Danio rerio: one gene and its partners. The protein of the gene in region 1 purifies or fractionates together with the protein of each later gene. This does not show direct contact. Links are inferred from orthologs where the notes say so. Each region holds a gene or a part of one and is shown in the gene's direction. Other genes may lie near its edges.

Evidence for each region.
Region 2: the proteins of polr2b (region 1) and dnaaf10 purify together in Homo sapiens (affinity purification with mass spectrometry; 3 studies listed by BioGRID and IntAct, with this or other methods). This does not show direct contact. The link is inferred for Danio rerio from reciprocal best matches to the Homo sapiens genes POLR2B and DNAAF10.
Region 3: the proteins of polr2b (region 1) and rpap2 purify together in Homo sapiens (affinity purification with mass spectrometry; 3 studies listed by BioGRID and IntAct, with this or other methods). This does not show direct contact. The link is inferred for Danio rerio from reciprocal best matches to the Homo sapiens genes POLR2B and RPAP2.
Region 4: the proteins of polr2b (region 1) and mediator of RNA polymerase II transcription subunit 26-like purify together in Homo sapiens (affinity purification with mass spectrometry; 3 studies listed by BioGRID and IntAct, with this or other methods). This does not show direct contact. The link is inferred for Danio rerio from reciprocal best matches to the Homo sapiens genes POLR2B and MED26.
Region 5: the proteins of polr2b (region 1) and ctdp1 purify together in Homo sapiens (affinity purification with mass spectrometry; 3 studies listed by BioGRID and IntAct, with this or other methods). This does not show direct contact. The link is inferred for Danio rerio from reciprocal best matches to the Homo sapiens genes POLR2B and CTDP1.
Region 6: the proteins of polr2b (region 1) and rprd1b purify together in Homo sapiens (affinity purification with mass spectrometry; 4 studies listed by BioGRID and IntAct, counting the BioPlex papers as one, with this or other methods). This does not show direct contact. The link is inferred for Danio rerio from reciprocal best matches to the Homo sapiens genes POLR2B and RPRD1B.

The regions. Positions count from the first base shown.
Region 1 is NC_133189.1:58,465,461-58,468,960, reverse strand, and holds part of polr2b (DNA-directed RNA polymerase II subunit RPB2), read left to right. Parts: intron 1-1,441; coding exon 1,442-1,606; intron 1,607-1,770; coding exon 1,771-1,967; intron 1,968-3,500. UniProt on the Homo sapiens protein: Catalytic core component of RNA polymerase II (Pol II), a DNA-dependent RNA polymerase which synthesizes mRNA precursors and many functional non-coding RNAs using the four ribonucleoside triphosphates as substrates.
Region 2 is NC_133188.1:1,040,948-1,044,371, forward strand, and holds part of dnaaf10 (dynein axonemal assembly factor 10), read left to right. Parts: intron 1-748; coding exon 749-849; intron 850-936; coding exon 937-1,067; intron 1,068-1,732; coding exon 1,733-1,834; intron 1,835-3,082; coding exon 3,083-3,198; intron 3,199-3,424. UniProt on the Homo sapiens protein: Key assembly factor specifically required for the stability of axonemal dynein heavy chains in cytoplasm.
Region 3 is NC_133177.1:11,243,061-11,247,314, reverse strand, and holds the start of rpap2 (putative RNA polymerase II subunit B1 CTD phosphatase rpap2), read left to right. Parts: upstream 1-1,454; 5' UTR 1,455-1,479; coding exon 1,480-1,534; intron 1,535-1,622; coding exon 1,623-1,668; intron 1,669-3,302; coding exon 3,303-3,417; intron 3,418-3,520; coding exon 3,521-3,619; intron 3,620-3,733; coding exon 3,734-3,799; intron 3,800-3,889; coding exon 3,890-3,978; intron 3,979-4,254. Other genes in the region: glmna (glomulin, FKBP associated protein a), read right to left, coding at 657-782, 864-923, 1,123-1,128.
Region 4 is NC_133186.1:5,668,140-5,672,234, forward strand, and holds the start of mediator of RNA polymerase II transcription subunit 26-like, read left to right. Parts: upstream 1-1,295; 5' UTR 1,296-1,441; coding exon 1,442-1,510; intron 1,511-2,057; coding exon 2,058-2,135; intron 2,136-4,095. UniProt on the Homo sapiens protein: Component of the Mediator complex, a coactivator involved in the regulated transcription of nearly all RNA polymerase II-dependent genes.
Region 5 is NC_133194.1:12,947,668-12,951,677, reverse strand, and holds the start of ctdp1 (RNA polymerase II subunit A C-terminal domain phosphatase), read left to right. Parts: upstream 1-1,210; 5' UTR 1,211-1,387; coding exon 1,388-1,662; intron 1,663-4,010. UniProt on the Homo sapiens protein: Processively dephosphorylates 'Ser-2' and 'Ser-5' of the heptad repeats YSPTSPS in the C-terminal domain of the largest RNA polymerase II subunit. This promotes the activity of RNA polymerase II.
Region 6 is NC_133198.1:46,851,370-46,854,869, reverse strand, and holds part of rprd1b (regulation of nuclear pre-mRNA domain-containing protein 1B), read left to right. Parts: intron 1-380; coding exon 381-507; intron 508-1,075; coding exon of another isoform or gene 1,076-1,078; coding exon 1,079-1,254; intron 1,255-3,075; coding exon 3,076-3,225; 3' UTR 3,226-3,500. UniProt on the Homo sapiens protein: Interacts with phosphorylated C-terminal heptapeptide repeat domain (CTD) of the largest RNA polymerase II subunit POLR2A, and participates in dephosphorylation of the CTD by RPAP2. Transcriptional regulator which enhances expression of CCND1.

The DNA.
Region 1 (3,500 bases):
CCTTTAGACTGAAGCACATGCAGGTTGCCAGATTGACGACACTAACAGGAGCGAGCTAAAACTAAAATGAAGTATTCACTCTGGTAATTACATATGAAGCAACCATTCCATCTGGAGGCAGTGAACGAGGCATAATTTGCAGTGCATTTATCGTGAAAGTGTGGAGTTTGTCCTAATGGCATCTTCTACACAAATTCAAATCAATTTTTAACTAAGCAGAAAGTTAGTTTTAGGTGAAAAACATCCGTGAGTAAACTAGAGCGAGTGATGCGGTGCTTCAGGTTTACTGTGAACTCAACGTTGTACTGTACACTGCCCTGCTAATGTTACCTTTGTAATATGTGTATTATTTGCTGGTTAAAACCACCTCAGGGATTTTTTTTTTAACTCTGATTTATTCACACTAGCTGTGACTTGGTATCTGCCTGTCGCTCTTGGTGGCGACCTGCTGCAAACGCAGGCCTACAGCACGGAGAATACAACCGGCCTCTGAGCGAGCTGAGAGAGGATCACATGAGCTCTATTAGTGCTCCTATTGGCTGTCGCTCAAGAAGGATTCTCAACTTTGTCACATCGCTAGACACACCCACCTGGTCGCGAACGGTCACTGTCGCTCGTGTAGGCGTAGGTTGCTGGAAGTCACTCACTTCTCATTGAAATGAACAGTTGCTTATCGCTTTGCTGCTGCGAGTTGCTCGTAGTGTGAATGAGACTCGAGTCTCTCATTTCTGCAGTTGCTTCTGTCCACCAGAGGGCGCATTTTCATCTGCATCCGCATACATTTAGAGCAGGGGTGTCCAAACTCGGTCCTGGAGGGCCGGTGTCCTGCATAGTTTAACTTCCCCTTCCCTCAACACACCTCCCTGTCCAAGTGAGTTTCTAGTATAATTAGTAAGAGCTTGATTAGCTGTTTCAGGTGTGTTTAATTGGGGTTGGAACTAAAATATGCAGGACACTGGCCCTCCAGGACCGAGTTTGCACACCTCTAATTTAGAGCCTTCATGACTGAATTAAATTACGCTGTTTTCCACCGTCTGGCAACCTGCTGTGCTGAAATATAATTGGTTAAAGTGGCAGTGGGCGGAGTTACAGATCAAAACAAAGACAGACATTCCCAGACAGAACGCACATTTTCAGAGCAGGATACCTGATTTAGCATGGTTTTACAGATAAATATGGTCACTTAGCATGATTCTGAAATATCTGCAAACATATTATTGAATTTTAATGATTTACAGGAGTAAACTATGTACATTCAGGAGCTTTAACCCTTTTCACACAATTCCAAAACCACTTTGAACAAGTGTAAAAATGTTTTTTATGAATAAGAGATTTTTGTTTAAAATTTGGCATCATTTAATACTTCAATATGTGCATTAGCACAGGGTAATGGAAACCAAGCTAGTGTTGAATTTTCTGCAATTATTTCTGTATATTTCAGGGAGTAAAGAAAAGTGCCATCGGTCAGAGGATCGTCTCCACGCTGCCGTATATCCGGCAGGAGGTGCCCATCATCATCGTGTTTCGCGCTTTAGGATTCGTGTCTGACAGAGACATTCTGGAGCACATCATCTATGACTTCGATGATCCGGAGATGATGGAAATGGTATGTCACATGAGCGCTGTGCAGTAATATACAGTTTAGTTTAGAGCGTAATTAATCCCCTTGGTTTATTCATTCTGACAGGGTATGGTGCATCACATATAACACAAAGGACAGACTGAAATACCAACACTTACCTTCAATCGTACTCCACTGTCTGTCCACAGGTAAAGCCGTCTCTGGATGAGGCGTTTGTGATTCAGGAGCAGAACGTGGCTCTGAACTTCATCGGCTCCAGAGGGGCCAAACCTGGAGTCACTAAAGAGAGGAGAATTAAATACGCTAAAGAGGTTCTGCAGAAGGAGGTGCTGCCGCATGTGGGTGTGTCAGACTTCTGCGAGACCAAGAAGGCTTACTTTCTAGGGTAAAACGGTGTTTATTTAGTTGCATTTATTTAAGTCTAAACAAACATATTTCAGTGGCCTTTTTTATATTTGTAAAACATTTGTTCAAGAAGTAAACTCACTTAAAGAATCATTCAGTAATACTCTGCCTGAGTTTAAAGAGAAATATTTATTATTAAGTCTGATAAATCACTTGTGTTTGTGGATTTTTTTGTATTTGTATTATTCTGAATTTATTCTGCCATGAAGATAGTCAATGAAGCTGACGTTAACTATAAATTTAAGATCTGATCTGATATGCTCAAACACTGAATATGTTGTGAATTATAATTCTAATTTAAAAGAACGCATCTGTGTGGGTTTATAGTGTAGTTTCATAAAGCACAAATTTAGAAATCATTTCTGATTATTAAAACATTGCTGCTTTGTTTTTGTGGAAACCATTTTCTGCATGCAAACACGTTTATTTGAAATAGATATCCATTTCTATTTATGCAATATCACGGCTGAATAACAGCATAAACTACAGCTGCGTCCCAAATCGCATACTAATGCACTATTCCACGCCATTTTGTAGTATCAATAGTGTAAGTAGTGTGTTCACACTGAAAACTCTAACAATAATAAGTGCACTTTAATTACCCGGATGATGCACTCATTCAGCTGCTAAAGTGAAGTGTGTAATGATGGACACTTCACACACTCAACGACCGCAGGTTTGCTTACATAGCGGAAGGGGCGGAGCTATCGGGCGCACATGTTGAATAACAAAATTTATTTCGGATTGTAAAAGCAAAATTCTTCTACGAGAGTGATTATAGCGCCTCCCGATGGTGAATGCGGCAATACTCGCGGCAGGTATTATTTGATAATTCGGTCGTTTATTTCACTGATTTGGCAACTGTCAAACATCATCAGGGGAACGGTTTGAATTTCCGCTTAATAAAAAACATTAATATGCCATTTGGGTCGACACTACATACATACACTATGCTGTTGAGTGTGTAAGTGCATAAGTACATAGTGCATAAGTGCAAAGTGTATATTGTGCCATTTGGGACGCAGCTTACTATAACAGGGGGTGGCCAACCCTTTTGCTGGAGAGCCACCTTCCTGCAGATTTCAGTTGCAGCCCATATCAAACACACCTGAACCAATTAATTAGGACCTGATAATTACAGACAGGTGTGTTTGATATGGGTTGCAACTGAAATCTGCAGGAAGGTGGCTCTCCAGGAACAGGGTTGGCCACCCCTGCTATAATGACCACCTCAGCTGCTGATTATGTGCTTTATACTATTAATATGGGCTTAAATATGATTTTGCATGACATTTGATTTCTCACTGTAAGCAGCAGCGGAGGTTTGTCAGATCTTGAAAATAATCTAACTGGCCAACATGGTTTAAAAATGAACATTAGAATGGTGTGCAGACCAACGAGCATCAGTCACTCAGCATGTGCTTTTACTAATGTTAAAGAGGTTTAATATTGTCTATAATTAGATTATTATCCTGTACATGTGGTTTTGACATTGCTTGTTGCTGGGAGTTTG
Region 2 (3,424 bases), on another chromosome or scaffold:
GTATGTACGATGTATAATTCAAAATGAAACTTATCTAACATGTAATTAAGTAGCTATTTGGGATGAGCCATATTTTTCAGCAATCAACATCAGAAACGAAAGAATTCCAATAAAAAGTCACATTTGAAACTGACACAATTCCATGAAGAAATAAAGATCGTATTGATTTGTTTGAAGAAGCTGCAGAGAAACAAAATTTTCCTACCATTGTAGTAGATTGCAGAAACACTTTGATTGACATTCTCCCTTTGTACGTGTCATCAAAGGGGGGAAGCCCCGCCCACTAGTGCCCATCTCTCCTTCATTAACGTAAACAGCAGCCCTGAGTGAGAAGCAGCCGTCTGTCCATTAACCAATAGAGTTATTATAGTTAATGAAAAACAAAACAATCATTTACGTTTACTTGAAATAAAAATAAAAAACAAACGTTTATAAAAAACAAAAACGGACTGAAACTGTAATGTGAACACATTAAACTGACTGAAACTAACCATTCGTTTTCGTCTTTGTGAATGTATTTAATACATAAGCCTACTGTAAGCCTTTTAGAAGTGAATATTTACTTCGCGCTGCAGGTGTTTGACCCGTACAGCACCTCAGAATCTGTAATACTGCTGCCATTGGCCAGATCAAGCCTGTCCTTCTCCAGTCATCCTCACTATTGCTCCTGTGACAAAAACAATATACATATTGATATGATGTATTGTGCATTATTGATGTTTAATAAACATACTTTTCAATATTCTAGATAGAAAAATCCAAGCCAATCAAGTGTGGGACGTTTGGAGCCACGTCTCTCCAGCAGAGGCATCTGGCCACCGGAGACTTTGACGGAAATCTTAACGTTTGGTAGGAGCCCGCTGGATGTGGTTATGTTTGTGGTTATCTATTATGTTGTTATTTAAAGTGCAGTATTGCGTAATCTTTGCTCTTCAGGAATCTGGAAGTGCCCGACAGCCCGGTGTACTCAGTTAAAGCACACAAGGAGATCATAAACGCCATTGACGGAGTGGGAGGACTGGGCATCGGGGACGGGGCTCCAGAGATCGTCACTGGAAGTAGAGACGGTAAATAGGCGGATTTCTGCAGACGAGAAATCGCATGCAAATGTCAACAAAGCTTTCACCCTTTCTAAGTGTTTTGCAATTGTGTAAACTACTCAAAAATGTCTCTGTCGGTGTTTTCAAACTATTATTTTTGATTTACCAAAGCCAATTTCACATCTGTCTCATGCATAACAGAGAGACGTCACATCCATAACCAAGCTTTTTCCTCATACATGCAAAAATGTCATGTAAAATAAAATCAATCATGTTTGTTCTACCGTATATTGAGACAACTCTTCTCCTTTTGATTAGCATTCTTTCTTTTGGGTTGTGCAGTTTAATTCACTGAATGTCTACAAAGCATGTTGTATTCTGTAAACTCGCAGACTTTTTTTGGTCACATCCATAATGCATGATTATTTCCCTCATTAAAAATATAAAATATGTTTACAGATTGCTATTTGTCTGATCTCATAACTCTTTAGTGAGTTGTTTTGGTACACATAAACAGATGTTTCGATATAATGTTCACATATACTTACTCTGTGAATTTATATTTCGAGTTTTTACTGCAAATGTCACAACCATAACGCTGGAATTGCTCTGATACACATATTTATAGAAAACTGACTGCGCTTAGAAATGTTTGCGCTTCGGATTTTGATTGCGTGTGGTTTTATTAATAGGCACAGTGAAGGTGTGGGACTCCCGGCAGAAAGACACGCCGGTGGTCAACATGGAGCCCACAGAGGGAGAAACCAAGAGGGACTGCTGGACGGTCGCTTTCGGTCTGTGATTGTTAATCTTGCGTTACACACACACACAAGAGTTAGTTCATGAGTTAATGTTTTATTCTTTTTCAGAGTTTTACGTTTGTTTGCCCTTCTTTCTTTTCTTTTTTTACCAACAAATTAGAAATGGTCATACAAATCTTTTAAAGCTCGTCTGTTTAAGTGGTCATCAACTGGTTTTGTTATCGACAGGACTCATATTTTCCCGGTTTTCTTTTTCCAATTTTCCCCAAATGATGTTGAACAGATTCAGTGTTTCCTCTAATATTTGGTCTTCTAAAGAAAGTCTGATTTGTTTTATTTCAGCTAGAATAAAAGCAGTTTTTAATAGTTTTAAAGTCATTTTAAGGTCAATATTATTCGCCCCTTCAGCAATATTAGTTTTGGATTGTGTGCAGAAATCAATTCAATTCAGCTTTATTTGTACAGCGCTTTTACAATGTAGATCGTGTCAAAGCAGCTTCACATAAATGGTCATAGTAACTGGATCAGGGTGGTTCAGTTTTTACTGTTTAAGAACAAACCACTGTTATACAATGACTTGCCTAATTACTCTAACTTTACCCTAATTACCCTAGTGAAGCCTTTACATGCACTTTAAGCTGAATACTACTGTCTTGAAGAATATCTAGTCTAATATTATGTGCTGTCATCATGGAGAAGAGGAAAGAATTCAGGATTTGATAACCCTGGCCTCCTTTACACCTTATTTATTTACACTTATTAAGATTCAGTTTAATTAATTTAATCACAATCTCAAGTCTGGACACGCATTTGAGCCAGTTCACACGCTCACACACCACAGCTTTTATTTCTCACGCTTAAAAGTCACCGGTCCCTCCAATATTGACTGAAGATCAGCATTGGGTTTTCTTTCTTTTTATGTGTATTTTCAGGGTTTCTGCAAGTTTCACCAAGTCAAATTTAAGCCTTTTCAAGAGCATCAATAATGAAATTTCAGACTTGTATAGGGGTAAACACTACTGATGTTTAAAAACATTTAAAAACTGTAATTACTATTGTTTAATTAATTATTTCTTAGCCGCATATTTCATATAATGTGCCTCTAGTTCTATACATACTGTTTTTTCAACAAAAACTCTTTAAATCTTAGGAAACTAAAGGCATGCACAACAGACTGTTATAATATTAGTTATAAACAGAGATTTACTAAATGTTTTGTATGTGTTCTGACTAAAAAACACAGAGTAAATCTCACACTTTGCCTTGCTTTTTTTCCTCTAGGTCATGCTTTCAATGATCAAGACCGCTGTGTGTGCGCTGGATATGATAACGGCGACATCAAGCTGTTCGATCTTAGAAACATGTCTTTACGATGGGAGAAGAACATCAGAAATGGGGTGAGTGTTTATAATATTCAGTGCACATTTTTAAAGGCCTCCCAACAACAGTGGATGCATTTAAACAGAATTATGAAAATATATTATTATTATTATTATTATTTCCCAGAGATGGGAAAAGGCTGGAAGGGCATCCTCTGTGTAAAAGATATGCTGGATAAGTTGGCGGTTCATTCCACTGTGGCGACCCCTGATTAATAAAGGGACTAAGCTGAAAAGAAAATGA
Region 3 (4,254 bases), on another chromosome or scaffold:
AGCTTAGTCTATAAAGGTTGGAGCTGCTTCTCCTTTGAGGAGTTTTTAGCCAAATCCAGCACTGAACTAAGAGAGATTCTAGAAGCTGTCCTTTGTTAAATGCTAGCTATATTTATTTTTTATAATTTTCTGGAACATATTTAAGTTAAATTGTAAACAATTCTCTTTATGCAGAAACAGAACAAGCTCTGAGGAAATTTGGACGGCATTTTAGCTTTCTCTGCTATAACATTACAGCGCCTTTGGCCACACCCCTTCGCTGCATGATGTAAATGCATGTAACCTGAAGCATTTAGCTCATTAACCTGGATGTATTTTTTTGTTGTCCCCTGTAGGCTTTGCTAAGCTAACTCTGTAAAAGCAATGTCTCGCTTTGCATTGAACTTTGAGCGTATAACATTCAGGGATGTTGTTTATGTTCACATAGCTACATTACACATTAACTAAAGTTTATATTATGATATCGTAGTGGACCACCCCTTTAAAACTACTCTTGTTCATCTGAATGAAGAGTAAACATTAAGGATGGCTTGAAAGCGAGTCAATTATGGGGTAATTTTACATTTTTGGTTAACTGTTCCTTTAATGCATCTTCTACAGTACATAGATAATTCACAAAGTAGAGTTTGGGTTAGATGCTACTGTATAAAGTTCACCTGGTTCTTCTCGTCCACTAGGATGCTGAGAACCTGAGCACTGTCACCTTGCTCAATGCAAGTACTTCCAGCAGCAGTGAACAAATCGTAATCTTCTGGTGCGAAGCTTTCATCCTTGACTGTTTGCTGCAAAAAGAGTGAATACACACGTAAATGACTGCAGGTGATTTAATGCGAGTGTACTGGAGCACACATTAAGACACTTACACATCTCTGGACCATATCACTGAGCTGATCTAGAGCCATGCTGATGCTCCGAAACGCCTTCTGTATGAAGATAATGTGATGTTACAGTCACTCTAGCAGTATACTAAAGCAGTGATGGTGCAAAGACAAGCTCGCACTGACGTCACGATCAATCATGACATCTTCATAAAAAGCAGTTCACTGTCACACACAGTCCAACTCAATCATCATTAAACACACACACACAGAATAACACATATCGAGATGATAAAAGCAAAACATTCATAAATGGACCTCACTCGTCCTCAAAGAGATGTCAAACTGCTTCTTGTAGGTTAGTTATTAGCAAGATAGCTAACGTTAAAATGCTCTAAAGGACTTGAGTTCGTTGAGAGAGAGGAGAACTAAACGTTCGCGTAGTTTTGTTTAAGCTAGGCTACTGCTTTGTTTTGTGAATATTATATAGGTCTACTTAACGACATAGAAATTGAAGGAGCGCGCTTACTCAGGTTCTATACTTCAAGCAGCGTCGCATGTTTAGAAACTGAAGCGGATTGTGCTGGATGAAGCGTGTCACACACGGCTTGCCGTAGTGCTCCGATGTAAGCGGAAGGAGTTTTGTTTTGATAAAACAAGCATGGATGCCGGTGAAGTGACAAGAAAGAGTCGGCCCTCAAAGTCCAAGAAGAAAGGTGTGGTATATATATAAAGTTACATGGACTTTTTCATTTATATGTTTGAATTTTAACAAAATGTTTGTACGTTTAATCTGAATTTTAGGTGGAAAGGGAACCCAAGCTATTTCAGCAGAGGATGAAGCGAAAAGGTGTGCATTAACTTCACTTGCACTTGCACTTGATTTTGAGTAGTAATTACATCTAGATTAAAGATATCTGGACTAACTTTGAATCTGGCTTTAGAAAGCCTGACTAGTTAGTTTACTGTAGTTTTAATCGCTTATGAAACGTTAAGGGTTTGTGAGTAATATAAAATATAGATATGTAAATATAAATATGTAATATAAAATGTATAGTACATTGGCATAACAGTTACTGGCTTAAGTTATTATACGTTAGTTATTACAATCGGGGATGGGAAGTATTTGTGATGCATGTATTTCAAATACGTATTTTAAATACAATAGTATTTTGTAATTTGCCTTTGATTAGGTTCATGAAAAAGGCTTAATATTTTGTATCAAAATACTTTAGTTTCTTGTATTTTTAAAATGCTTTGTAAAAAGTCTACTTGATGACATGATGGCTTTAGATTAGATTAGAAAATTTATAAATATTGGAGTTGATCAATGCTTGGAGTATGGATGAAAATTCTGCATCACATATAAAGAAAGTAACAGACAAATAGCTGGGGTAAATGCAGGAGCAGGTCAAAATCAGACAAGAATATAAGACAAACAACATAAAAAGTGGCGATACCTACAAAAAATAATTGGCTGTTTCAAATGCCAGTAGCTGATCTGCAGGTGCTCTTTATAGTTAATTACTAACTTTAACATAATAGACAAAAATATTAAATAATACTCCAAAACTTCCTAATTTTTGAGATATCGTGTTGATATGGTGTTTTGAAGAGTACAATTGCAAAAAAAAAAAAAAAAAAAAGATTTTTGGAAATTACTAAAACTGGAAACTTTTGTAGTTTTCAGAAATCATGATTTTATATTGAGTATTGAAGATTTCAATTGCAAAAATGTTGAAAAATATGACTTTTAACAGATGGTTGCAATTTTCACAATCAAGAGATATAGTATTCCAACTCATCTGCAATAAATGGTTTTTACCTAAAGTTTGTTAAAATATTAATGACAAAAGAAAATGGCTTGCTCTACAAATATATAATTTATTATGGCAAGAACATTTTGGAATAAGGCTGTAACATAAAAAATGTGGAAAAAGTGAAGCGCTATGAATAGTTTCCAGATGCACTGTATGTGTATAAAAAGTGTATAGCAAGTAGTGATGTTCGTTTCACAAGTACTATCATTAAGTGCTCCTAAGATAGATTGCTTGAGGGAAGAAACTGTTTCGGTGTCAGGCTGTTCTGGTGCATAGTGCTTTGTAGCATTGACCAGAAGTTAAAAGTTGGCAGGGTGAGGCTGTGTGCTGGGTGTGAGGGGTCCAAAGTGATTTTGGCAGCCCTTCTGCTCGCTTTGGATAAGTACAGTATTTGTAAAGTCGGGAGGATTGTACCAGTGATTCGCTCAGCAGACTAAACTATTCAGCGTAGTCTTCAGAGGTCAGATTTGGTAGCTGAGCTAAACAAGACAGTTATTGAAATGCAGTGGACTTTAGTTTCAATGATGGAAATGTAGAACTGTTTCAGCCGCTCCTTTGGAAGGTTGAACTGCCTCTGCTGACAAAGAAAGTACAGCCTTTTTTGAGCTTTCACATTGCAAATTAAAATATTTAAAACCTTTGATATAAAGTGTAATGTTTGCAGGAGGGAAGCTGTTAAAGAACAACTCCGACAGAAGCTTGAGTTGGAGCGTAAAGCCCGGCAGGTGGTTGAGCGGCTGTTGGAGGACAGCGTGACAGAAGAGTTCCTCATGGACTGTGTAAGGCACTTATTTAGCCTCCAAACACTTCAGATGGATATTTAAAATTATTTGTTGTGATCCATTGAGAGAATGTCCTACTTTTTTTTTTGTTCTACTTTAGGCCTGGCACATCACTCCTGCCAACTACAAAGACACTGTGGAAGAACGATCCATTGCTAAACTGTGTGGATATCCCATGTGCCCAAATAAATTAACTAATGTAAGAAGTTTGTGAATTCTCACACTCGAAATTTACTAAAAAAACTTCAGTTTTTTTTTTTTCTTTGTTGTTATTGTTCTTTCTTTTTTATTAATGGTATTATACTAATTCCAGGTGCCCACTCAACAATATAAAATATCCACCAAGACAAATAAAGTCTATGATATTACAGAGCGTAAGGTGTGTTTTTCTTTAATTGTTCTCTTTTTTTCTGTATTTTATTAATGATTGGAGATTAATTAGTTGTTCTGTGTGTGTTTTTTCCCCCAGTGCTTTTGCAGTAATTTCTGCTACAAAGCCTCCAAAAGTTTTGAGCTCCAGATATCAAAGATTCCACTTTGGCTTCGAAAGGAGGAGAGGTAGTGTATTTGTTAATTTAATTGTCAATTAATTTATTACTAGAAAACTGTTTATTTGAATTTTTAAAACATTATTAATGAAATTTATTCAGTATACACAGTCTAAACATAAATACTAACATATTTTATTTAATAGTAAATATTTACTGTATAGTTTTAGTATATTTGAAACGTTTTGGGTCTAAAATATGTAATATTTTGTAAAGAAATGTTCTTTGAAGAATGAAGTTTCCTTTGGACAAAAACAGTCTAATTATAGACCATTTCAATGTGGGG
Region 4 (4,095 bases), on another chromosome or scaffold:
AATATTGGTGGGCGGGGGAACTGCACTCCTACGTCAAGTTGTGGTCGCTCTGAAAACCGCTCCAATTGGTCCATTTTTGTAGTGTTAAATTGGAAAAAAAAAGGGCCGTGTGTTTATATCACCCCAATATGACGGTCTATACACTATACATGCATGTCTGTCCAAACAGCTTGAAAAGTAGATTTTTCACCATAGGTGCCCTTTAACCCTATATAGTGCATCTGGAAAGTATTCATAGGGCTTCACTTTTTCTACATTTCTTTGTTACAGCCTTTTTCAAAAATTGATTAAATTAATTTATTTCCTCAACATTCTACAAACAATACCCCATAATGACAATGTAAAACAGTTTTTGAAATTGTTAGAAATTTATTAAAAATAAAAACGCTGAAAAATCAGATGTACATCAGTATTTACAGCCTTTGCCGTGAAACTCTAAATCGAGCTCAGGTACGTTCTGTTTCCACTGATCATTCTTGAGATGTTTCAGCAGCTTCATTGGAGTTCACCTGTGGTCAATTCAGTTGATTGGACATGATTTGAAAAGGCATACACCTGTCTATATACGGTCCCAGGGTTGACCTTGCAAGTCAAAGCACAAACTAAGCATGAAGACAAAGGAATTGTCTGTAGACCTCCGAAACAGGATTGTCTCAAAAAACAAGGCTGGGGAAGGTTACAGAAACATTTCTGCTGCTCTGAAAGTTCCAATGAGCACAGCGGCCTCCATCCATAAGTTGAAGATGTTTGGAACCACCAGGACTTTTCCTAGAGCTGGCTGGCCATCTAAGCTGAGGGATCGGGGAGAAGGGCCTTAGTCAGGGAGGTGATCAATAACCCAATGGTCACTCTGTCTGAGCTCCAGCGTTCTTCTGTAGAGAGAGAAGAACTTTACAGAAGGACAACCATCTGTGCAGCAATCCACCAATCAGGCCTGTATGGTAGAGTAGCCAGACAGAAGCTACCCCCCGCCTGGAATTTGCCAAAAGGCACCTAAAGGACTCTTGGATCATAAGTAACTAAATTCTCTGGTCTGATGAGACTAAAATTGAACTCTTTAGAGTGAATGCTAACGGTCTAATCTGATTCAATTCATTATGCTAAGCTAAAAGTGACCCCGCCAGAGCAAGAAATGGCTGAATGGATAAAAAAAAAAACATTTCAAGTCAGCTGTTCAACTCTAGGAGACTTGTAAAGAGAGCCTTGAAAAAGGTGCAGTGTTTCTTTAAATCATGTTTAAAAGCCCATCTTGCACCTGCTGAAACCATTTAAGTCATTTGCATTCATATGTGGACACGGAGAGTTGAGCTCAAACGGGACTGGCTGTAGTAGTTTCATATCGACGATGCAGGTTTAAAAAGGGCTTTGCATATTGTTTGTGTTCTCATGCTGTTGTACATTTATTAGTGGACGTCGTTTTTAAAAGTGTCATTTTCTGACAATGAAAAGAGCTTCAAGTATCCAACAGCTCAAAGAGCAGCTCATGCAGGCCGTCGATGCTCAAAACAATGTGAGTAAGAGCTGAGTAATGCAATGGGAAGTCCTTCTAAATGCATGTCGTTTATGCTAAATGTGTTCTTGATTGTTATTTTTTTTTATGAAAGTTTTGTCTTAAAGTTTTGTCATTTGTAAGCATGACTGTTTTTATTCCTTTAATTAATTCAGGTAAATTAAAGGACAAAAGTTCCTCACTACAGTATTTCAAATTGGTTGTTTCATTGAAAAGGAAAGATTGGCTGGTTTTATTTTATTTTTACATGTATGTTGACTGTTGGTTTGCTCAATCTGTTGTGGGATTTATTTTTTAAAGCAAGTTTTATAGACATTATTTCACAGAGTTTTACAGGAATGAGCGTGCAAGCAGATTTGCATTTGAAACCACAAATGATGACTGAAAGTGTGACTGCTCCAGGTGCACATATGAGAAAATATATGAGAACGTTCATGTCTGAAAAAGACACAGAAACTGACCTCAGTGTATAGAGGAAAATAGCAGTAAATGTAGATGATGTAGACTGAAAGTCTGAAGTGACATGAACTTAACCTTTACCTGTCAGCAGATACAGAACATGGTGGCTGTGTTGGATGTGATATGCTGTCTGGAAAGTTACCCCATGACTAAAGAGACTCTAGAGGTAAGATACTAACTCGGTATGTTTGCACAGAGTTTAATTTAGAAAATGATGTGTTGTTATATTGTGTGAAAACATGAATAAATAAGACTAAAATCACAAAGGAGGAGCACAGCAGCTTCACAAATGCAGTATATTACAAAATATGGGAAAAGGCTGAATAGTACATGCACAATTTTAAATGAAACAAACAAATGATGAATAAAAATTATATAAATTACATTTATAGAAATAATAAATAAATAAAAACGTTACTAAACCCTACAAAACATGTATTAGCTTGCTCTGATGAGCACAAAACAGCCATTCTAAAATATGCTGGAGTTATTAACACAAACTTCCTCAGGTTTAGGTTGACACAAGCCAGTATTTTATAGAGTGACCATCTTGTCTGGTTATAAAAAATCTAAATTAATTTATTTTAGGTTGAGCAGACGAAGAAAAAAAACTAATTTTCAGATTTTAATTAGCAAAGACCAGACCACCAGTGAGCACTTCAGAGAAACTCACGTCATACAGCTATTAAAATTAATGTGCCACCTTTAAAAATGTTCATTTCATTTATTCATTTTCTTGTCGGCTTAGTCCCTTTATTAATCCGGGGTCACCACAGGGGAATGAACTGCCAACTTATCCAGCAAGTTTTTTACACAGCGGACGCCCTTTCAGCCACAACTAATCTCTGGGAAACATCCACACACACATTCACACACACACTCATACACTACAGGCAATTTCGCCTACCCAATTCACCTGAACCGCATGTCTTTGGACTGTGGGGGAAACCAGAGCACCCGGAGGAAACCCACGCGAAGGCAGGGAGAACATGCAAACTCCACACAGAAACGCCAACTGAGCTGAGGTTCGAACCAGCAACCCAGCGACCTTTTTGCAGTGAGGCGACAGCACTACCTACTGCGCCACTGCCTCACCCATGTTGACATTTTCAACCATAATTATGTGTGAATGCATATTTATTTCTGCCGTTACAAAATGTTACAAATAAATTCTAACGATGATGCAGCAAATGCTACCGAAAATTACACTGCCAGTTTAGCCAATTATATTTGAACACCCCGGGTTGACTTCATGGAAAATTGCATATTTTATTCATAAATGCTCTCAAAGCATGTGTCCATGACCGAAATGGACAGTAGCGGACTCCTAAATGAGATGCAAATTCTGGAATGTGTTGTTCATCTAAAATCATATTTTGCCAACTATTTCTATAAGATTAAAATAAAATAATCAAATAAGGCGAAGCAGTGGCGCAGTAGCTAGTGCTGTCGCCTCGCAGCAAGAAGGTCACTGGGTCGAGCCTCAGCTCAGTTGGCGTTTCTGTGTGGAGTTTGCATGTTCTCCCTGCGTTCGCATGGGTTTCCTCCGGGTGCTCTGGTTTCCCCCACAGTCCAAAGACATGCGGTACAGGTGAATTGGGTAGGCTAAATTGTTCGTAGTGTATGAGCATGTGTGGATGTTTCCCAGAGATGGGTTGCGGCTGGAAGGGCATCCGCTGCGTTAAACATGTGCTGAATAAGTTGGCGGTTCATTCCGCTGTGGCGACCCTGGATTAATAAAGGGACTAAGCCGACAAGAAAATGAATGAATAATCAAATAAGATCAAGTCCTTTTCTTAAATATTCAACTTTTTAAATTTATTTTGTGGAATAACTGCCTTTATAAAAAAAACTGTATTGTAAAAGATATTATTACCTTTCTCATATTAATTTATTCATTTTCTTGTCGGCTTAATACGCAGCAGATGCCCTTCCAGCCGCAACCCATCTCTGGGAAACATTCACACACACACACAAATACACTACGGACAATTTAGCCTACCCAATTCTTCTGTACCGCATGTCTTTGGACTGTGGGGGAAACCGGAGCACCCGGAGGAAACCCACGCGAACGCAGGGAGAACATGCAAACTCCACACAGAAACGCCAACTGAGCCGAGGCTCGA
Region 5 (4,010 bases), on another chromosome or scaffold:
GGTTACGGGCCTGTATTTACTGTCATGGCAAAGATAAAAGAACTGTTATAAGAAATTAGTAATAAAAACTTTTTAGAAAGAAAAAAATGTATTCTCTCTGTTAAACAGAAACTGAGGAAAATATACAGGAGGTCTAATAATTCAGAAGGGCTGACATCAACTGTACATAGCTGGGGTGAACTTAACCAACAAGGTAAGCAACTGCTTAGGGCCCCAGGGAAATAAAGGGCTCCCAGCTAATGCCAAGAAGCCTATTTTAATAATCCTAAAGCTATTTTACAATTTTTTTCTATCATATGTTGTAAAATCTGTTCAGAACCATTAAGATTTTACCATTATTACTTCTTTTCTAAACCAGGGGCCCCCATGAAAAGTGGAACGTTCCATTCATACTGCACTTAATAGAAAATATTAAAATCTAATCACAAATCACAAGTAAGGCTAATTAACTGTACATAGCTTGTGAGCTTGTTTTTTTATTTGTGAATTTACTTCATTTAATTTTATATGCAGTTTATACGCACACACACACACAACCCTGAATATAAAGAGAAAAAAATATCTATAAAGTTTTATTTTTTTTTTAAAGAAACTGTTTTAAGTTTCAATGCTAGGGCCCCTAAATCACTATATCCGCCTCTGTACATAGGACAAGTGCAATCCTGTCTGTGAGTCCATGCTATCTGAAAGATTGATGTAATAAAGAAATATACAGCAAAATGAGTAATCCTCTTTGGTAACTTTTTAAATGAATGAGTAAGTTTTACATTCAAGCCGAAATAAAACAAAAGTGAAATCACTCCCTCACATGAAGCTAAATGTTTACATGCTGCGATGACGCGCGGTCTAATCCCCTGACAGCGGATGGTGTGATGATGATATTTCATCAGATTACATCACAAGCCAGGGGTTTGCCTGTCTCAAACGGGGGAGGGGACGCATAAAAACAGTTTGCTATAAATGCTTAAGTCAGATTTTCTCTGAAGCAGCAGTTTGACTGTAACTGTTTCACCAGTTTGACTTTAAATGTTTCATCTATTTCTCACGCGTTTTTTTTAATATTTAGCCAAATATTTATGCGCATAAATGTTGTCATTATTTTATTACAAACTAAAACAGAATACTCTAGGGTAACGACAGTTTTTTTTTTAAAGAGGGTTATTAAAGTCTCCCGGAAGTGGATAGAGTGTCGCTCGTGCTGCAGCCTTGTGTTTCCTGTTTACGGGCGGGAAGAGTGAACCTGCGTCTCAGCCTGTCCTGCAACAGAGCTCATTTTTATCTCTTCATTTCCCTGCGCGCCTCTGGATTATTTTCAGAGCTATTTACTACTTTTATTAACTCTCCCCAAGCGCTTCCTGCGGCTCTCTGACTGAAGTTTGAAGCCCTGATGGAGGAGCCTGCAGACTCCGGCGGCGGTGCGGCAGCAGAGGGCCCCGTGGTGCAGGTGACGGAGATCCGCTGCCCCGCAGGAGCTCGTCCCCTGCGGCTGCTCGAGTGGAAGGTGAAACCCGGAGCTCTGGTCAACGTTGACTCCGTGATCGCGGTATGTGCGCCGATCCCCGCCGAAAGCGAGTCCAGAGCGCCCGAAAAGAAGCTCAAGTCGGACCGCGCTGGAGTTGTGCAGGAACTGTGCTGTCAGCTCGGGCAGGTCATCGCGCCTGGGTAAGACACGCTCTCATGACCCCGTTGATATCCCAGATTTCACGGCTGACATTTACGCTTTTATTTCCAACCCTTGCTTCTGAGCTGAGCGTGCTCGCGCTAAGCTAAAGTGGCACGCGCACTGGCGCTCACGCTGAGCTCGTGACAGCAGCATCTCAACTTCCACGCGCCCGGTGTAAACATGTTTAATATCATGTAAAGGTGTTTTACGGGATTGTTGTTATACCAGGCATAAAATGTTCGTATTAACTGAAAAATATGACTGATTATATCTTGGGAGATAAGCTCTGATAACCCCTAAACTCTGTGTATACATGGCAAAACAAGAGTTGGGGGAGCGGCCCGCCCTTTTTACCCAATCAGAAACGTTCTCTCTCTGTCAGTCATTTGGTGCGTTGTAGTTTGGTGCATTCGGATTGGCTGGTACGGTTGTAGAGGGCGGAGATTTGGAGTGAGGGTGTGTCGTTGAAAGCATGGAGGCGGTCTGAATAATTCAGAGAACTCTAACGTTAGTAGTGGAAGAGAAGCGTGCAGAGTCATCCAGGATTTCCACGTGCCTTATTGTTATTTTTTTTGCACCACATGGTTGTTGAAAAAAGTTTGAAGTTTTGGGATTAAGCAGCCCAGAAAAGTATTATTTTAGTTATTTTTATTAATGCATATAACTGACAAAGCATAAAGGATTATATGATAACATATACAACAGTCATACAAAACTTAGTGATGCAAAACATACATTAAAAAAAAACTACATTATATATATGGGGGCTTTATCATATTTAAATTATTAGATTGTTTAGATTTTTTTCGTTATTAGAGAGGTTTTTATAGCTTTCATGTAATTGAGGTCAAAGAATTATAAACTATTTTTAAATCTTTACAGAAAAAAAATAAAGGAGGGAGTAATAGACGTTACTTTTGCCTTGTATATGTGAAAATTCCCAAGAAAAATGTTCATTATCGAGTGTATCGAGTGTATCATAGCCAGTTTTACAATTTAGAAAAAGAATCATGCATTCGTCAAAGTGAATTATTTTGTTAAATGAATCAAAAGTCAACCCTGAAACCTGTTTCCAAAAATCATCAGAAAATGTACAAGTACGAAATAGATGTAAAAGACTTTCAGGCTCAGTGTTACAAAAACAGCCTTGATACTGAAATGAGAGTTTTGTCGTCATTATATATAAATATAATATTTTATTATTATTATTTTAGCAGTAGTAGTATTAGTGGTAGTGCTATTTTCTTTAGTTCATGTTTATTGGAATCACGTGACGCCTTGACAATTTTTACTTTTAAATCATTACTTGAATTAAATGCAGAACATGCTTAAATAAGCAAAACAAACTATATAAAACAGATAAAGCTTACACACAGAGTTCATTGTTAAAATGAATCTTTAAAAAATGCTAAATATTTACAGAGTAGTTATAGGAGATTTAAGATCTTCAGTCTCTTCTAATCCTGAAAATATGAAGCTGAGTATTAAGGACAATCTGCGTTTATGTATAAAAAAGGGATAGGCTGAAATAGGATTCTGATGGGAGGTTTTGCAGTATTGTGATTACTGTTTTAAAATATGCTCTTTTTAAATGTCTGAGTAAAAAACAAAATAAACTTTTTTTGCCTTTGAGTATTTGTCAATTGCGTGCAAATAAATTCTTAGAATCAACAGTTGTGTGTTTTAAACCTTTAAATGATACCTTCTCTGTGATGTTGTAAACACCATATTGTTTTTCGCTTCCTCTTGCTTGATTGGATGTTGTGAGCACATTTTTTTTGTCTGCATCTTGGCAACAACCCGTACAGTGAAGAAACAGCAACATCAAATTGAGGCTAATGTCTTGGAAGCAGACATTTATGTGGGTACAACACATTGAAAAAAATGTAGCAAGGTTTTGCAGTTTGTCGTTATTTAGGCAAAGCAGCCACCTTCTGTTAAATCATTTAGAACTGCAATAAAATACCTGCAAAATTTTTTATACGGCTTTTTTGTTTCCATAACACTTAGAATTTATTCAACATTAAAATACATTTATTAACATTTTTAAAAATTCTAAATTAATGACACATTATTTAAAATGTGTGGCTAAGAAATACAGTTGAAATCAGAATGATTAAACCCCCCCACTGAATTATTAGACCGCTTGTTTATTTTTTCCCTAATTTCTGTTCAACGGAGAGAAGATTTCTTCAACACATTTCTAAACATAATAGATTTAATAACACATCTCTAATAACCTATTATTTTATTTTTTTCATGATGACAGTAAATAATATTTTACTAGATATTTTTCAACACATTTCTATACAGCTTAAAGTGACATTTAAAGGCAGGTTAGAGTAAT
Region 6 (3,500 bases), on another chromosome or scaffold:
GTCAGAAAAGTGTAGTGGCTGAGAATGGGCTTTATACAGTGTCTGCTATAATGTTAATGTTGTTTATGTGTTTAAATTGATGAATATGGCCACGGTGTAAATACACGGTGTACAGTTATGAGCTTATTGCCGCATTGTATCGATATGATAACATAATATTGTTGCTTTTGGTGATTTCCTGAAGATAAAGACCAAAAAAAAAGAGCACAACTGGAAAATCTACAGCAGTCGGCATCATCGATCTCATTTAAAGAAAGAGTTTGCGACGGCATTTGATGATGTAGTAGTGCTGTCCTATTTCTTAGGGGTATATTTGAAGTAGGGGTTATACAATATAATTGGGATTGAGTCTTAATGTCTTGATTGTGTTGATCTGGCAGACGGAGGACCTGGTGAAAGCTCTGCAGGATCTAGAAAACGCTGCTTCAGGAGACGCCGCCGTCAGACAGAAGATCGCATCTCTTCCGCAGGAGGTGCAGGACGTCTCTCTGCTGGAGAAGATAACAGGTTAAGATCAAGTTTAAGGGTGCTTTCACACCTAGCCGTTTGTTTCTTATCTTGGCACGTTTGTCCTGTCAGCTCAGTTCGTTTGGAAATATGTGAATAGTGTAATCGTGTTCTGATCCGCACCAAGTCAGTCGGACTGAGATCGCCTGAATGAGATGGTCTCGCCTTGGTTGATACGAACTCTGGAGCAGTTTGGTTGTATTGATAAAGCAATATGAGCCAACGAACTAACAAACCAGGCTTTATCACAGTGTGTAATGGTTATGTAATATGTAACTCTGAGTCAACTATTTTGCTAAAGAATCAATAGTTTTAAACATGCTGCACTTTTAGATTTAACCCTCAGCTGGATGTTTTCATTCACTTATAGCTGTGTTACTCAATGCATCGAAGCTAATTATCAAAAACCCTCAATGTTTAATGTACATTGGGGCTATTTTGCGTTTATCGTGTGAATGCTAACGTGTTTGAGGATATACTAATATAAAGCAGAAATGTGTTGACTCGATCATTATCTTGCTCATTGTGGTTTGCATGAATCTCTTCGTTTGGTTGTTGTTTGTGTCAGCAGATAAACAGGCAGCAGATAAGCTGTCAAAGACGGTGGACGAGGCCTGTCTGCTGCTGGCTGAATATAATGGACGTCTGGCCGCGGAGCTGGAGGACCGCAGACAACTGGCCCGAATGCTGACCGAATACATACAGAGCCAGAAAGACGCGCTCAACGAAAGAGAGAAGAAGCTGGAGGTACCACATACACATCTTTTTTTCCCCTCAATTTATGTTTAACAGAGAGATCGTTTCCAACACATTTCTAAACATAATAGTTTTATAACTCATTTCTATTAACTGATTTATTTCATCTTTGTCATGATGACAGTAAATAATATTTGACTAGATGTTTATTCAAGACACTTCTATACAGCTTAAAGTGACATTTAAAGGCTTAACTAGGTTAATTAGGGTACGGTTAGGGTAATTAGGCAAGTCATTGTATAACAGTGGTTTGTTCTGTAGACTATCCAAAAACAAATATTGCTTTAGGGGGCGAATAATGTTGACTTTTAAAAAATTAAAAACTGCTTTGATTCTTGCCAAAAATAAAACAAATAGGACTTTCTATAGAGGAAAAAATATTAGAGGAAATACTGTGAAAATTTCCTGAATCTGTTTAACATCATTTGGGAAATAATAGAGAAAGAAGAAAATACAGGAGGGTGAATAATTCTGACTTCAACTGTATGTGTAAAACAATTTTTATTTTTATTTTTTTTGCATTTTATTGACTTTTATATTGTGTTTTTATTTGAACTGACTGTCCTTGTTGTCTTGTTTGGTGGCCTTGAGTGTCTAGACAGGCACCTAAATAAAAGGTATTATTATTATTATTATTATTATTATTATTATTATAAATCATATTGTACAAACATTAACAAACTTTTTTTACTTAACCAAAAGCAAAGAGAGAAGAAAACCTCAAAATCAGAGAAATAAAAAAATATAATAATAATTTTAATAAATACATTTAAAAAAAAAACTTAAAGCATGCCAAATAAATAATTCTTAAATCGAGAAATTTTTCTAGACAAATAGAAATTATTGTCGTGTCTTCCTAAATAAAATGACAATGAAGAGAGTTTTTCCTTAAAACAAGCAAAATAACCAGCCAGTGATGTAAGTAAAATCTTGTTTTGGCTTAATCACATTATTGCTTACCTTATTGGTAGATTATTTAGCTTGTTTTAAATGGGAAATGAAGCACTCGGTCAAGTTTATATTATTTTGTACATGGGATTTACACTTTAATGAAACTATGTTAAACTCTATTACTGTAACCATTTAGCAGAAAACAGCGTTTTTTAACTATAGATTTTAGACCTAGGGAGCCGCCATCTTGGAATGTCGAGGTGTCTGACGTCACAGGGTTGTTCCGTTCTTTACTTAAAATAGAAAAAAAAAAATAGAATAAATATATATAACTTTACATTAGACACACATCTGATGCTTGTATTTGCAGCAGCAAATCCACAACTTCACCTTTTGGGTTAAATTAGGCTTTACAATCTTCTTTACTTTTACTGTATATGTTTAGCCGAGGGAACGGAACCAACCCCGTGACGTCAGACACAGCAACATTCCAAGCTGGCGGCGCCCTAGGTCTAAAATTTATAGTAAAACACTCCATTTTGTTCTAAATGGTTGCATTAATCGAGTTTGTTTAATATATTTTCATTAAAGTATACAAAATAAAGTAAACTTGACTGAGTGCTTTATTTCTCCTTTAAGGAAAATCTCACTTAAACTCAATTTTTACCAGTTCTTACAAGTTCTGTTTAACTGAGAGAAGATTTTCTTCAACACATTTCTAAACGACAGTTTTAATGACTCTTTTCTTATACCTGATTTCTTTAATCTTTGCCATGATGACAGCACGTAATATTTGACTAGATATTCTTCAAGACACTTCATATCGCAATATTTATCACAGAAAAATTAAATATCACCATATCAGATGTTTCCAATATGGTGCAGCCCTTGTGTGTTGATTTATCCGGTGTGTTTTTGCAGGAATACAAGCAGAAACTGGCTCGTGTCACACAAGTGAGGAAGGAGCTGAAATCACACATCCAGAGTCTTCCAGATCTTTCTCTGCTCCCGAATGTGACGGGCGGCCTGGCTCCGCTGCCGTCTGCTGGAGATCTGTTTTCCACCGACTGAACATTTCATTTCTGAGACTCACAGACACTGGCAGAGCAGAGCAGAGCAGAGCGGATTAATGATAACAATAACAAGCGTATGGAGATTTCCAAAACCCGCCGGTCCACTCATCACTAAATCCGACGCCGAGATTTTGTTTTGCCGTGACTTTGCTGTGGAAAGCGACTCTCTTTTGCTTTGTCTGATACCTGTAGGTTTTTAGTTTTTACTGCTCGGATAATAATTTGGCTTCATTTTGGTTTTGGGAGGAGACTAAAGATGAGGATTCAGTTTTA